3 linked regions of the Yarrowia lipolytica genome follow. The protein of the gene in region 1 purifies or fractionates together with the protein of each later gene. This does not show direct contact. Links are inferred from orthologs where the notes say so. Each region holds a gene or a part of one and is shown in the gene's direction. Other genes may lie near its edges.

The links.
Region 2: the proteins of YALI1_D30922g (region 1) and YALI1_E38020g purify together in Saccharomyces cerevisiae (affinity purification with mass spectrometry; 3 studies listed by BioGRID). This does not show direct contact. The link is inferred for Yarrowia lipolytica from reciprocal best matches to the Saccharomyces cerevisiae genes IMP4 and UTP13.
Region 3: the proteins of YALI1_D30922g (region 1) and YALI1_F23133g purify together in Saccharomyces cerevisiae (affinity purification with mass spectrometry; 3 studies listed by BioGRID, with this or other methods). This does not show direct contact. The link is inferred for Yarrowia lipolytica from reciprocal best matches to the Saccharomyces cerevisiae genes IMP4 and IMP3.

What each region holds. Positions count from the first base shown.
Region 1 is NC_090773.1:3,090,752-3,093,798, reverse strand, and holds YALI1_D30922g (uncharacterized protein), read left to right. Parts: upstream 1-1,598; coding exon 1,599-2,450; downstream 2,451-3,047. UniProt on the Saccharomyces cerevisiae protein: Required for the early cleavages at sites A0, A1 and A2 during 18S ribosomal pre-RNA processing.
Region 2 is NC_090774.1:3,799,194-3,803,788, reverse strand, and holds YALI1_E38020g (uncharacterized protein), read left to right. Parts: upstream 1-1,743; coding exon 1,744-4,086; downstream 4,087-4,595. Other genes in the region: YALI1_E38034g (uncharacterized protein), read right to left, coding at 1-411. UniProt on the Saccharomyces cerevisiae protein: Involved in nucleolar processing of pre-18S ribosomal RNA.
Region 3 is NC_090775.1:2,311,529-2,314,626, forward strand, and holds YALI1_F23133g (uncharacterized protein), read left to right. Parts: upstream 1-1,812; coding exon 1,813-2,457; downstream 2,458-3,098. Other genes in the region: YALI1_F23109g (uncharacterized protein), read left to right, coding at 1-1,414; YALI1_F23157g (uncharacterized protein), read right to left, coding at 2,994-3,098. UniProt on the Saccharomyces cerevisiae protein: Required for the early cleavages at sites A0, A1 and A2 during 18S ribosomal pre-RNA processing.

The sequences.
Region 1 (3,047 bases):
TGGAGTCTTGGGGGTTACGCGGTATATTTTAGTGTAGATATTATGGGGTGTATAGTGATAAAAAGTGGAGTTATGGGCTTCATTGTGCTCGTTCTATATGAAGCATTAGTTGGGATTTTAGTTGAGGTAAGGAGGTCTACAGTAGGAGGTATAGGAGGTCATTTTGCGAGTAAATGAGAAGCGATGGGGGTTAGTCTGTATGAGAGGAACTGATCGGCATTGTTGGCGGAGGATAATGCTGGAGTTGGTTAGGGTTACTATGGGGTGTTGTAGTAGAATGATGAGGGTGGTGTATTGTAGTGTTTGAGATATGGTCCTTCCAGATATTAAAACTAGCTGATTTGAGAAATGATTTGATCTTTGGAGAGCATGTTATTTTGGATCCCGTTTAATTTTCCCGAATCTGGTCATTTATCGTCTCATTAGAAAGGTAGGAAGTTCAACTACAGTAGTACCTACAGTACCTACAGTACAAGCCCTTGCTCGTCGACTTGCTCTTGCGATCGATTTGTAGATCGGAGAAAGTATCAGAAGATCTATTTAGACGGGTTATTGTTGTACACTTGAGTTGAAATCGTTCAAATCGGAAGAATATCCATGATTCTATAACAATCCTGTTCCTGCTCTTCTGTCTGAACTGAACGAAAGGCCGAAGAGATGATAATGAAGACTTGATATAATCTCAAGATAAATTTTAATTGATTTAATTTTCAACTAATCACCTCGACCCAGTTCAAATCGACCCAAATCTCGACCTGTTCGGTGATGTGGGTTCTGGCCGGAGATGCAACGGAGAAGGGAGAGGTTTTGAGGTGAAGCGGAATTATTGAAAAGAAGATAAATAGAATGTTTAGTCTGTCTCTCCACTTCAAGTGACAATCCCTTCTTTTATCCAGCATTCTAGAGCATGTTCAAACTGTTGGATCTGAGCCGTTCGGGAAAAGTCAGACCCGGAGCCTGGCGAAATATTCTGTCAATTATACAATACTTTCGTAGTACTCTTTTTTGATTCCTGGGAGCTCCCAAATCCGATAGGTCTTTCTGATCATCACTGTCTCCGTATAATTCGTTTTCCATGGAAAAATTACATTGATTGTCACTGGGTGGAAGGATTACAACGATTGTCATTGTGTTGGACGGGGCCACAACAATTCTCGAAAGCAAGTTTCTGTAGAAGTAGAGGAGTATCAGAGGAAACTATCGACCGGAAAATCACCAGTTTACATATATTCTTTTTGAGGTGCTTCCACCATTCGCCAGCATATCCTGACATTGAAGGCCATTTGGTCTACAGTGAAGACATCTCACAAGCACTCCCAACAGTTAGTTGAACACAACAAATGGCAATAAATGGGTCCAAACTGTTCATAATTTGACCGGAGAAAGCGGAGAATGATACAATGGTGAATTTTACATCTTTATCCGGGACCTTTCACTTCTTAAAGTGTCACATATAGCTTTTTATTGGCCACATGATATCCCTGTGGCCATCGAAATAAGTTTTCAGATTAAGCTTTTTCGTGGAAAAGAATTATGCATACAGATCTTTTTTTTTGTCAGTCTTCCCACAACCTTTACATCACCGCCACAAGCCCAGCATGATCAGAAGACAGGCCCGAGAACGGCGAGAGTATCTCTACCGAAAGTCGCTCCAGCTGCAGGAGGCGACCAAGATCCAGAAGCGGCAGCAGTTGAAGGCGGCGCTGGCCTCCGGTAAGCCGTTGCCCAAAGACGTGGCTGACGACGAAGAGCTTCGAAAGACCATTGCGTACGACGAGTCTGTGCAGGATGAGATTGACGACGAATATAGCGCCATGAGTGGCATCACCGATCCCAAGGTGGTGGTGACGACTTCTCGAGACCCGTCGACCCGTCTGTCTCAGTTTGCCAAGGAGGTGAAATTGCTGTTCCCCACTTCTATCCGGCTCAACCGAGGAGGAACCGTGTTGCCGTCGCTGGTTTCGGCTTGCAAGACGTCTGCTTCATCGGATCTCATTGTTTTGCACGAGCATCGAGGTGTGCCTACTGCCATGACGGTGTCCCATTTCCCCCATGGCCCCACCGCCTACTTTTCGCTTCATAACGTGGTTCTTCGACACGATCTGCCCGATACCGGCAACATGAGCGAGGTGCACCCTCATCTCATCTTTGACAACTTCACCACCGACCTGGGTAAGCGAGTTGTGCAGATTTTGAAGCATCTGTTTCCTCCCGGAGTGAAGAAGGACTCAGCTCGAGTCATCACATTTGCCAACCGAGGCGACTTTATCAGTGTCCGGCAGCATGTCTACGTCAAAACCCGGGAGGGTGTTGAGCTTGCTGAGGTCGGACCGCGGTTTGAAATGAGACTCTATGACCTGAGACTGGGCACTCTGGAGAACAAGGATGCCGATGTCGAGTGGAGAATGCATGGATTTATGCGAACTGCCAATAAGAAGGATTACCTTTAAGTGGCAAGACTGAAGGTCTGAGTGGACAAGAGCCGATGAAGGCCTACTGGACGACTTATTGATCGCTGGAGGAAGTAATATCTTGTCAGCACTTGTGCGGTTATGACAGCTTTTGGAAAGCAGTTACAGAAATACAGGGAGTTTGATAAAATGTCAAAAAATGAGTCGGTTTTATCTGAACCACCTTTCTCACGCTGACTCGACATCAGACTGTCCACCGGCTGGCTTCAACACAATACTGTGTGTTCATACACACTGATAGAAAGGATATAGTATTTATGAGCATATTAATAGTGACAGAGTGTAGAAGTAAAGCTCCACGTACAGTTTCCAGAAGAGTTTTCAGAAGAGTGGGGTTTTGATGTTCTTGAATGTTGGGACGAGGTTCGGAGGTGTTTTTCGTCTGAACCTCAGCATCGTCCAAATGCTCTAACAAGCCCAGAATTGGTGTCAGACTGATCGCAAAACTCTGCTCGTTCCAATGGTATGTTCCATAATACGCCTGGACCATTATCCGTTGTGTACTGTACTGTACTGTAGTCGTGCGTTTCCTCCACCCCTGAGATTTCACTTCTAACCTGTTCTCGAAAGGTGTTA
Region 2 (4,595 bases), on another chromosome or scaffold:
GGCAGTGTGGGCCATCTGGTACTTGGTGAGCATCATGAAGTGGTCATCGGCGTAATGCACTCCGGTGTGGCCCTCGGTGCCGACAGCAGTGCCAAAGAAGATGAGGTACTCGGTGACAGAGGCATGGAGCACAAACATGGATCCCATGGCTCCTCCGGCGTTGTTGAAGACCCACTCGTCAAAGTTGAGCTCGTTGATGAACTTGCCATATCGGTCGTGCAGAGAGGCGCCCAGATCGGTCAGAATGGCGGTCGAGTTTCCGTCGGGGTTTCGCTCCAGAGTCTGGTTGACCATGGTCATGAGCTCATCCTTGTCGAAGATGTATCTGTGTGGGAGCACGTTGATAAAGAGCCAGTTGGTGACCATGTACAGACCCACCAGCAGCAGGGAAATCAGACCGACGAATTTCATTGTGGCGGTTCGTACTGTCGGTGATAGCTAGTTGTAATGCGTGCCCCCCAGTCGCGTCTATATATACAAACACAATAGGCTTTGCCCAAATCACTTGCATGAAGAACCTTAGACATACGACCTGAGCGAGATGGGATGACATGACATGGCGTGTGGAGGTGACCGTCCGTGCATCCGCACCACCTTTTGTTGCAACTCGATCCCACCACGAATTCAGACTTGGGTTGTGTGGATTGTGTATGTGTGTGTGTGTGTGTGTGTACACGTGACCAACTCCATTCACTCCACTTCCAAAAGAAAAACACGTCTTAACCCCTTGTCTGGTCTCTCCCAGTTGTCTCCATTGCCTTCATAGTTAGCGCATGTTTTTTCACACCGGCGTTTCGCTTAAAGTTCCACCTTCGTATTCCTCGTTTGAAAAATCATACATGCCTGTTTCTTTCGTGTCGAACGTTACTGCACGATATTGTGCGTGCAGTGTGGGAGATTTGCGTAATACAGTGCAACGGCTCGGCGGGTGGGGGGGAGGTTGGAAACTCCGTGTCACGTGACGTGTTCTGAAGAAGCTCTCGGGTGGGTAGCAGGAAGATTTGCAAACAGTGTGCCAAGTACTGGCGGTATCGTACATACTGTACATGAGGACGGATCGTGACCACGTGACCGACAAGATCTGGAGTTATCTTGAATGGCGTATTTGTAGACGGCGTTCTATGTGATAGTTGTGTCTTCGTATCGTACTTGTACTTGTACTCGTAATAAATGGGGGAATGTGTGTTTTGTAGCTCGTATGACAGCCAAATAGGGGGCATATGCACTGAATACAAGGAAAAGTGATACTTGTATAAGTACAAATACAGTAGATGGAGAATGCAAGCCAAGAGTTTGACGATACAGTCACAAAAGGTATACTGCCGGCAATACACGAGCCATTGGATCAGTAAATCAATCGTTCAGTTTCTATTATGATCTGGGTTGAGGTGGGGTGGTGAGGGTAAGTAATTTAGGTGGTATTAGTTAGCTTAGGTGAAGTATGGTATATGTAATGTATATGCAGAAAAAAAAAAAAAAAAAGTGGAAGGACCATCAAAAATGGTCACAAATTGGAACTGGGAGTCTTAATAATCCAATAACTGCTCAAAGTGACTGCTCCAAGGCTGTCATTTTGGTCTGACTCCAGATCAATGCCACTAAGAGAGGCTACTCGTACTTCCTCCTCTTACATACATGGTTCTGGAAAAATTAATTAACGTTTGCAACATGCAAGATTGGAAAAAATTGGTGTGCTGAAATCCAACTGCACGAAACACATCTGCTATACTACCAAAAGACAAGATGGAAACGACGGAAAAGACTGCGTTCGAAGCCGTATCCGTGGAGCCTTTCTACACCGGTGGCAAGACCTCTCTCGCCGACGACGGGTACACCCTGGCCACCTCTTTTGGAGAGGACGTGGTGGTGACCAACATCAAAACTGGAGAGGAAATCTGCCGAATCGAGGGCGATAGTGAGATTCTGACGACTCTGGAAATAAGTCCCGATGCCCAATACCTCGTCACATGCTCCCGATCTCTGACAATGCGCACATACCGAATCCCCAGTGGAGAACTGGTTCGATCAGCCCGGGCCCATGACGCCCCAGTGATTGTCATGGCTATCGACAGCTCATCGAGTCTGGTGGCGACCGGAGGAGCCGAGGGAACCGTCAAGGTGTGGGATCTGGAGCGGGGATTTGTGACTCACAATCTCAAGGGCCATGGAGGAGTGGTTTCTGCATTGAAGTTTTTCGGCGAACAGGGCGGCTCAGTGTGGCGCCTGGCGTCCGGAGCGGACGACTGCAAGATCCGAGTTTGGGATCTCGTGAGCCGAAAGTGTCTCAAGGTGCTGGATTCGCATAACTCGGTCATTCGAGGTCTGTCCTGGAGCTCCGACGGTGGCATTCTTGTGTCTGGAGGCCGAGACAAGATCGTCAACGTGTGGGACGCCAACAAGTTCAAGCTGGTGCGAACCATCCCCGTGGGTGAGAGTATCGAGACAGCCGGTATCCTGAATGGCGAGGGTCTTCGAATCTATACTGGTGGCGAGATGGGAGTTGTGAAGATCTGGAACGGTCAGACTTCTGCTCTGATTGCTGCCCAGGTCCAGCCTGCAGTGCACAACAAGGAAAACGAGCGAGTGGGAGTGGTGGACATTCTGTATAAGACCGACAAGCTTGTGTCTGTGCTGTCAGACCAGACTTTTGTGGAGCTGGACGACGACCTAAAGGAGGTGCGACGTATTGTGGGTTTCCATGATCAGATCATCGATATGACTTATGTTGGCGAAGACGAGTCCAAGCTGGCGGTGGTCACCAACGCGCCCGACATTCGAATCCAGACCGTTGGAGGAATCGAAACCAACGTTCTGACTGGACATAGAGATAACGTCATTGCCGTGGACCGATCGTTTGACGGTACCTGGCTGGCTTCCTCTGGAAAGGATCACGAGGCTAGAATCTGGCACGTGCCCACTCTGACCTGCTTTGCTGTCTGCACCGGTCATGCTGGTTCTGTGGGAGGTGTTGCTCTTCCTAGACTTCCTCTTGAGGGTCGACCTCCTCAGTTCCTCATTACCGGCTCGCAAGATCTGACCATCAAGAAGTGGAACATTGCCAAGGACGGTACTGCGAAGGCCGAGTACACCCGAAAGGCCCACGAGAAGGATATCAATGCTCTGGACGTGTCTCCTAACGATAGACTGTTTGCTACGGCTTCTCAGGACAGAACTGCAAAGGTGTGGGACATGAACTCGGGTGAGGCTGTGGGAGTGCTGCGAGGACACAAGCGAGGCGTCTGGTCTATCAAGTTCAACCCCTACGAGAAACAGATTGTAACTGGATCGGGAGACAAGACCGTCAAGGTGTGGTCTCTGAACGACTTTTCGTGCCTGCGAACATTTGAAGGCCATACCAACTCGGTTCTGCGAACCGTGTGGACTTCTCTGGGCTCCCAGATTGTCTCCTCTGGAGGAGACGGACTCATCAAGGTATGGACTTATGCCTCTGGAGAATGTGCTGTCACTTTGGACAACCATGAAGACAAGGTGTGGTCTCTGGCTGTTCGAGGCTCCGATGACGGTGCCCAGATGGTCTCTGGAGACGGAGAGGGAACCATTACTGTGTGGAAGGATATCTCCGACGAGGAGAAGGCTGCCAAGAAGGCTGCTGCCGAGCTTCAGGTGGAGCAGGAGCAGCAGCTGGCAAACTACGTGCGGTCCAAGGACTGGGAGAATGCTATTCTGCTTGCTCTGACTCTGAACCAGCCCTACAAGCTTTTCTGTCTGTTCCGAGACGTGCTTGCTGATCGCCAGGACGAGGACTCCATCATGGGTCTGACTAAGGTCGACAATGTGATTGCTGGACTCAATGTCGAGCAACTGGAGCTTCTGATCAAGCGAGTCCGAGACTGGAACACGAATGCTCGATCGTCGGTGGTGGCTCAGCGGGTCATGAACTGCATTCTGGTTAACCACTCGGTTGACAAGCTCAGCCAGGTGCCCAAGATTTCCACCATGACAGACGCTCTCATTCCTTACTCGGAGCGACACTTTAACCGGGTCGATGAGATGTACGACGAGAGCTATCTGCTAGACTACGCTCTGAATGAGATGGACTTCCTGGACACTCCTCAGGTTGTGTAGGATGGAAATGGGGGCATTGTGAGGGACTAGGGACGGGTTATATAGGCATACCAATAGATATTGACATTATTGTGAGAACTGCGAGTGAACAGCACGAATCGTTCTGAACTTCGGAAAAAGATCTCGTGGCAGAGGGCTACATTGTAGTTTCTCGGGACGTATCCTCACACCGTATAGCGATCACGAGTCACGAGTGCCATAGAGCGAGTGCCACAATACGAATCACTGTGACCGTGTCTGTCGGACTCCGTCAATCACCATGACCGCAGAATATGCACTCGGATAGGACTCACAGTACAAGCCTATTGTATGTCGTCTTTGGATTCTGCTGCATCTGACTTTTTTCGCATATCTCCGTGTACAAGCAGTAGCTAAAATAACAGGGGGTGTATGGAGCTCTATAACGAGAGATATTTGGAAGATACAAACACTTGTAGTGAATAAGAGGTCAGTTCAGAACCTTGAGCGAGCATTCAGTATCAATTGTACCAGCTAAATAGTATTATACG
Region 3 (3,098 bases), on another chromosome or scaffold:
GACTCTGTTCAAGTACGCTGACAAGGAGAAGCGAGAGATCATCACAAAGGCGCTGAAGGGCAACTACTACGACCTGGCCATCTCGTCTTACGGAAAGTACCTGCTGGTCAAGATGCTGCATTACGGATCTGCTGCCGTTCGACAATCTATTATTGACGAGCTGCACGGCCGGTTCCGAAAGCTCATGCGTCATAAGGAGGGTGCCTATGTGCTGGAGGATGCCTACAGAGACTACAGCACTGCTGCTCAGAAGCGACAAATCATCCAAGAGTTTTTCGGTGCCGAGTTTGCCGTTTTCCGAGACGCTGCTGGCACAAAGACCCTTAAGGATATTATCGAGGACGCCCCCGAGAAGCGACCCATCATCATGCGAAACCTGAACGAAACTATCACTGCTGCTGTCAACAAGGGTTCCATTGGTTTCACCGTCATTCATGCTGCCATGCTTGAGTACGTCAGCAACCTTGACACCAACAACTCGGAGAAGACCGAATTCATCGATCTGATTGGCGAGCAGTTTGCAGAGATGGTGCATACTAACGAGGGATCGCAGGTGGCTTGCAAGACTCTGGCCATGGCTTCTGCCAAGGAGAAGAAGGGTCTTCTCAAGTCGCTCAAGAGCTTTGCCGACACCCTGGCTGCTGATCAGTACGGACACATGGTCATGATGACTGCTTTTGACACCATTGACGATACCAAGAGTGTTGTTAAGGCCTTTTCTGGTGAGCTCTCCGAGAAGCCCGTGCATGAGCTGTTCATGGACAAGAACGGTCGACGACCCTTCCTGTATGCCATGCTAGGCCGAGACTCTCGATACTTCAACAAGCTGGTTCTGGATCAGCTCAAGCAGTACGATGAGATGAAGACCGCAACTGGTACTGCCAAGAAGGATGATGCTCTTCGACTGGAGGAGATCAACAAGGGAATGTCCCCTCTGATTCTCGAGGCCATTGCCAACAACGCTTACGAGCTCATGAACGACACCCTGGGTTCTCAGTTCATTTCTGAGGCTCTTCTGTCGTGTGACGGTGACAAGTCTGAGGCTATCGCTGCTCTTATGGAGGTTCTGTCTGCCGATCCCGCCGGTGACAACCACGTCATCAAGCAGCCCAACGCTCAGCGAGCTCTGCGAACCCTCATTCAACAGGGACATTGGAACAACAAGGAGAAGAAGGTAGTCAAGGTCGAGACTCCCATCGACTTCGGTGCCAAGTTCTACGATGCAATTGGGGATCACGTTGTCGCATGGGCCACTGGAGACGGTGCTTTTGTCATTGTGACTCTGTTGGAGAACCTGGAGGACGATAAGCTGAAGAAGGAGCTCAAAAAGACTCTCAAGGACAGTAAGAAGGAGATTGCTGCTGCTGCCGAGGATGGAAACAAGGGTTCCAAGCTCATTGTTGACCTGCTTTAAGCGAAAACACGTTGTATAAAGATATATTTGGTAATAGAGGTATGATAGGATAAGTTGAGGATACTGTTTTACTACAAGTAAAGAGTTGTTTGCCACTCGCGTACAAGTGCATACGATAGAGAGGGATGCTTTGATATATACATATATATTTTTTTTGGAAAGATCAATCCATAGATCAGAAATGTTGAGAATTTCCAAATGAAATAGAAGGAGATCGAAAAGGAAGTATTAACAAGTTACCAAGGTATGGCATATTTAATAGTTGGAAAATAAATAAATAAAAATAACTAAAAAAAATAAAAAATCAAACCAAAAACCAACACAAACAATACTACAAGTAGTCTCGGTGGTAGTCACACCAAATACCCATCTAAGCATTTTCCTTGATACTCGCTTCTATGCATGGCAAAACTCTATATCAAAAAAATCCCAAATTATTCTTCACGGTGCAGGGAAAGATATCACCACTTCTTCACAACACCTTTGACAAAATGGTACGACAGTTCAAGCACCACGAGGGCAAGCTGCTCAAGAAGGTCGACTTTGTCAACTGGAAGACAGATAATGGCCACCGTGAACAGCAGGTGATGGGCACCTTCCATCTGCAGGACCGAGACGACTACAACAAGTACAACAAAATCTGCGGTAAGATCCGACAATTAGCATACAAGCTATCTCAGCTCCAACCGGACGACCCTGTTCGAATCAAGCACGAAAAGCTGCTTCTCGACAAACTCTACCAGATGGGCATTCTTTCCACTAACACCACCGTTTCGCATCTGGAGACCAAGATATCTGTGTCTGCTATCGCCAAGCGACGACTCCCCGTCATCATGCACAAACTCAAGATGACCCAAAAACTGGACGCTGGAACTGCCATGATCGAGCAGGGTCACGTGAGAGTGGGTCCTCACATTGTCACCGACCCTGCGTTTCTGGTGACCCGAAACATGGAGGACTTTGTCACCTGGACCGACCGATCCAAGATCAAGAAGGCCACTCTCAAGTACCGAAACGAGCTCGACGACTTCAACACTATGTAAGTTTTTATTTATGCATGCTACTATTAGACGGAATGAGAAGGCGTGTAGAGAACTTGGAGAAGTAGGGGATAGTCCGCTTTTTTATTATTGTCAAGTCGATAAGAACACTATCAGGTGAAACGAAGACATTCATTGCTATATGTTCAACTAAATGACTTCAGATTTTGAGCGTCGTCTCCTTAATCACTGTGCTCTTGTCTGATCTCTCGGTTGTTGGTATTGTCTGGGCGAGTATGTCAGTTACGATACAAGTACTACCGTTGTAGATTCATATTTACAAGAAAGCCTACAAAAGATACACGCCGCTGGTACTTGAAGTCGTACTACTATACGATATGGTAGAAGCACAAGACTCTGCATCTCCTTGGTTCTGTCTCTCAGATTACAAGTGAGGCACTGGACCTATAGGCTAGCATTGTAGCCACAACCAAACCACTTAAATCGAAGTGATGACAATCAAGTGATCACTTTATACCACTAACTACTGTCGGGTCCCTGTGGTGACTCTATTATACCGTATGCTAATTATTTTCAGACTAAGCCGAAGCAGCCTGGGACTGGGACTCATGCACGGCCTCCAGCCACTGGGTGGGGCACTGGTAAGCCGAGTGACAGGGCACCAGGCGCACAAAGTCGCCGGG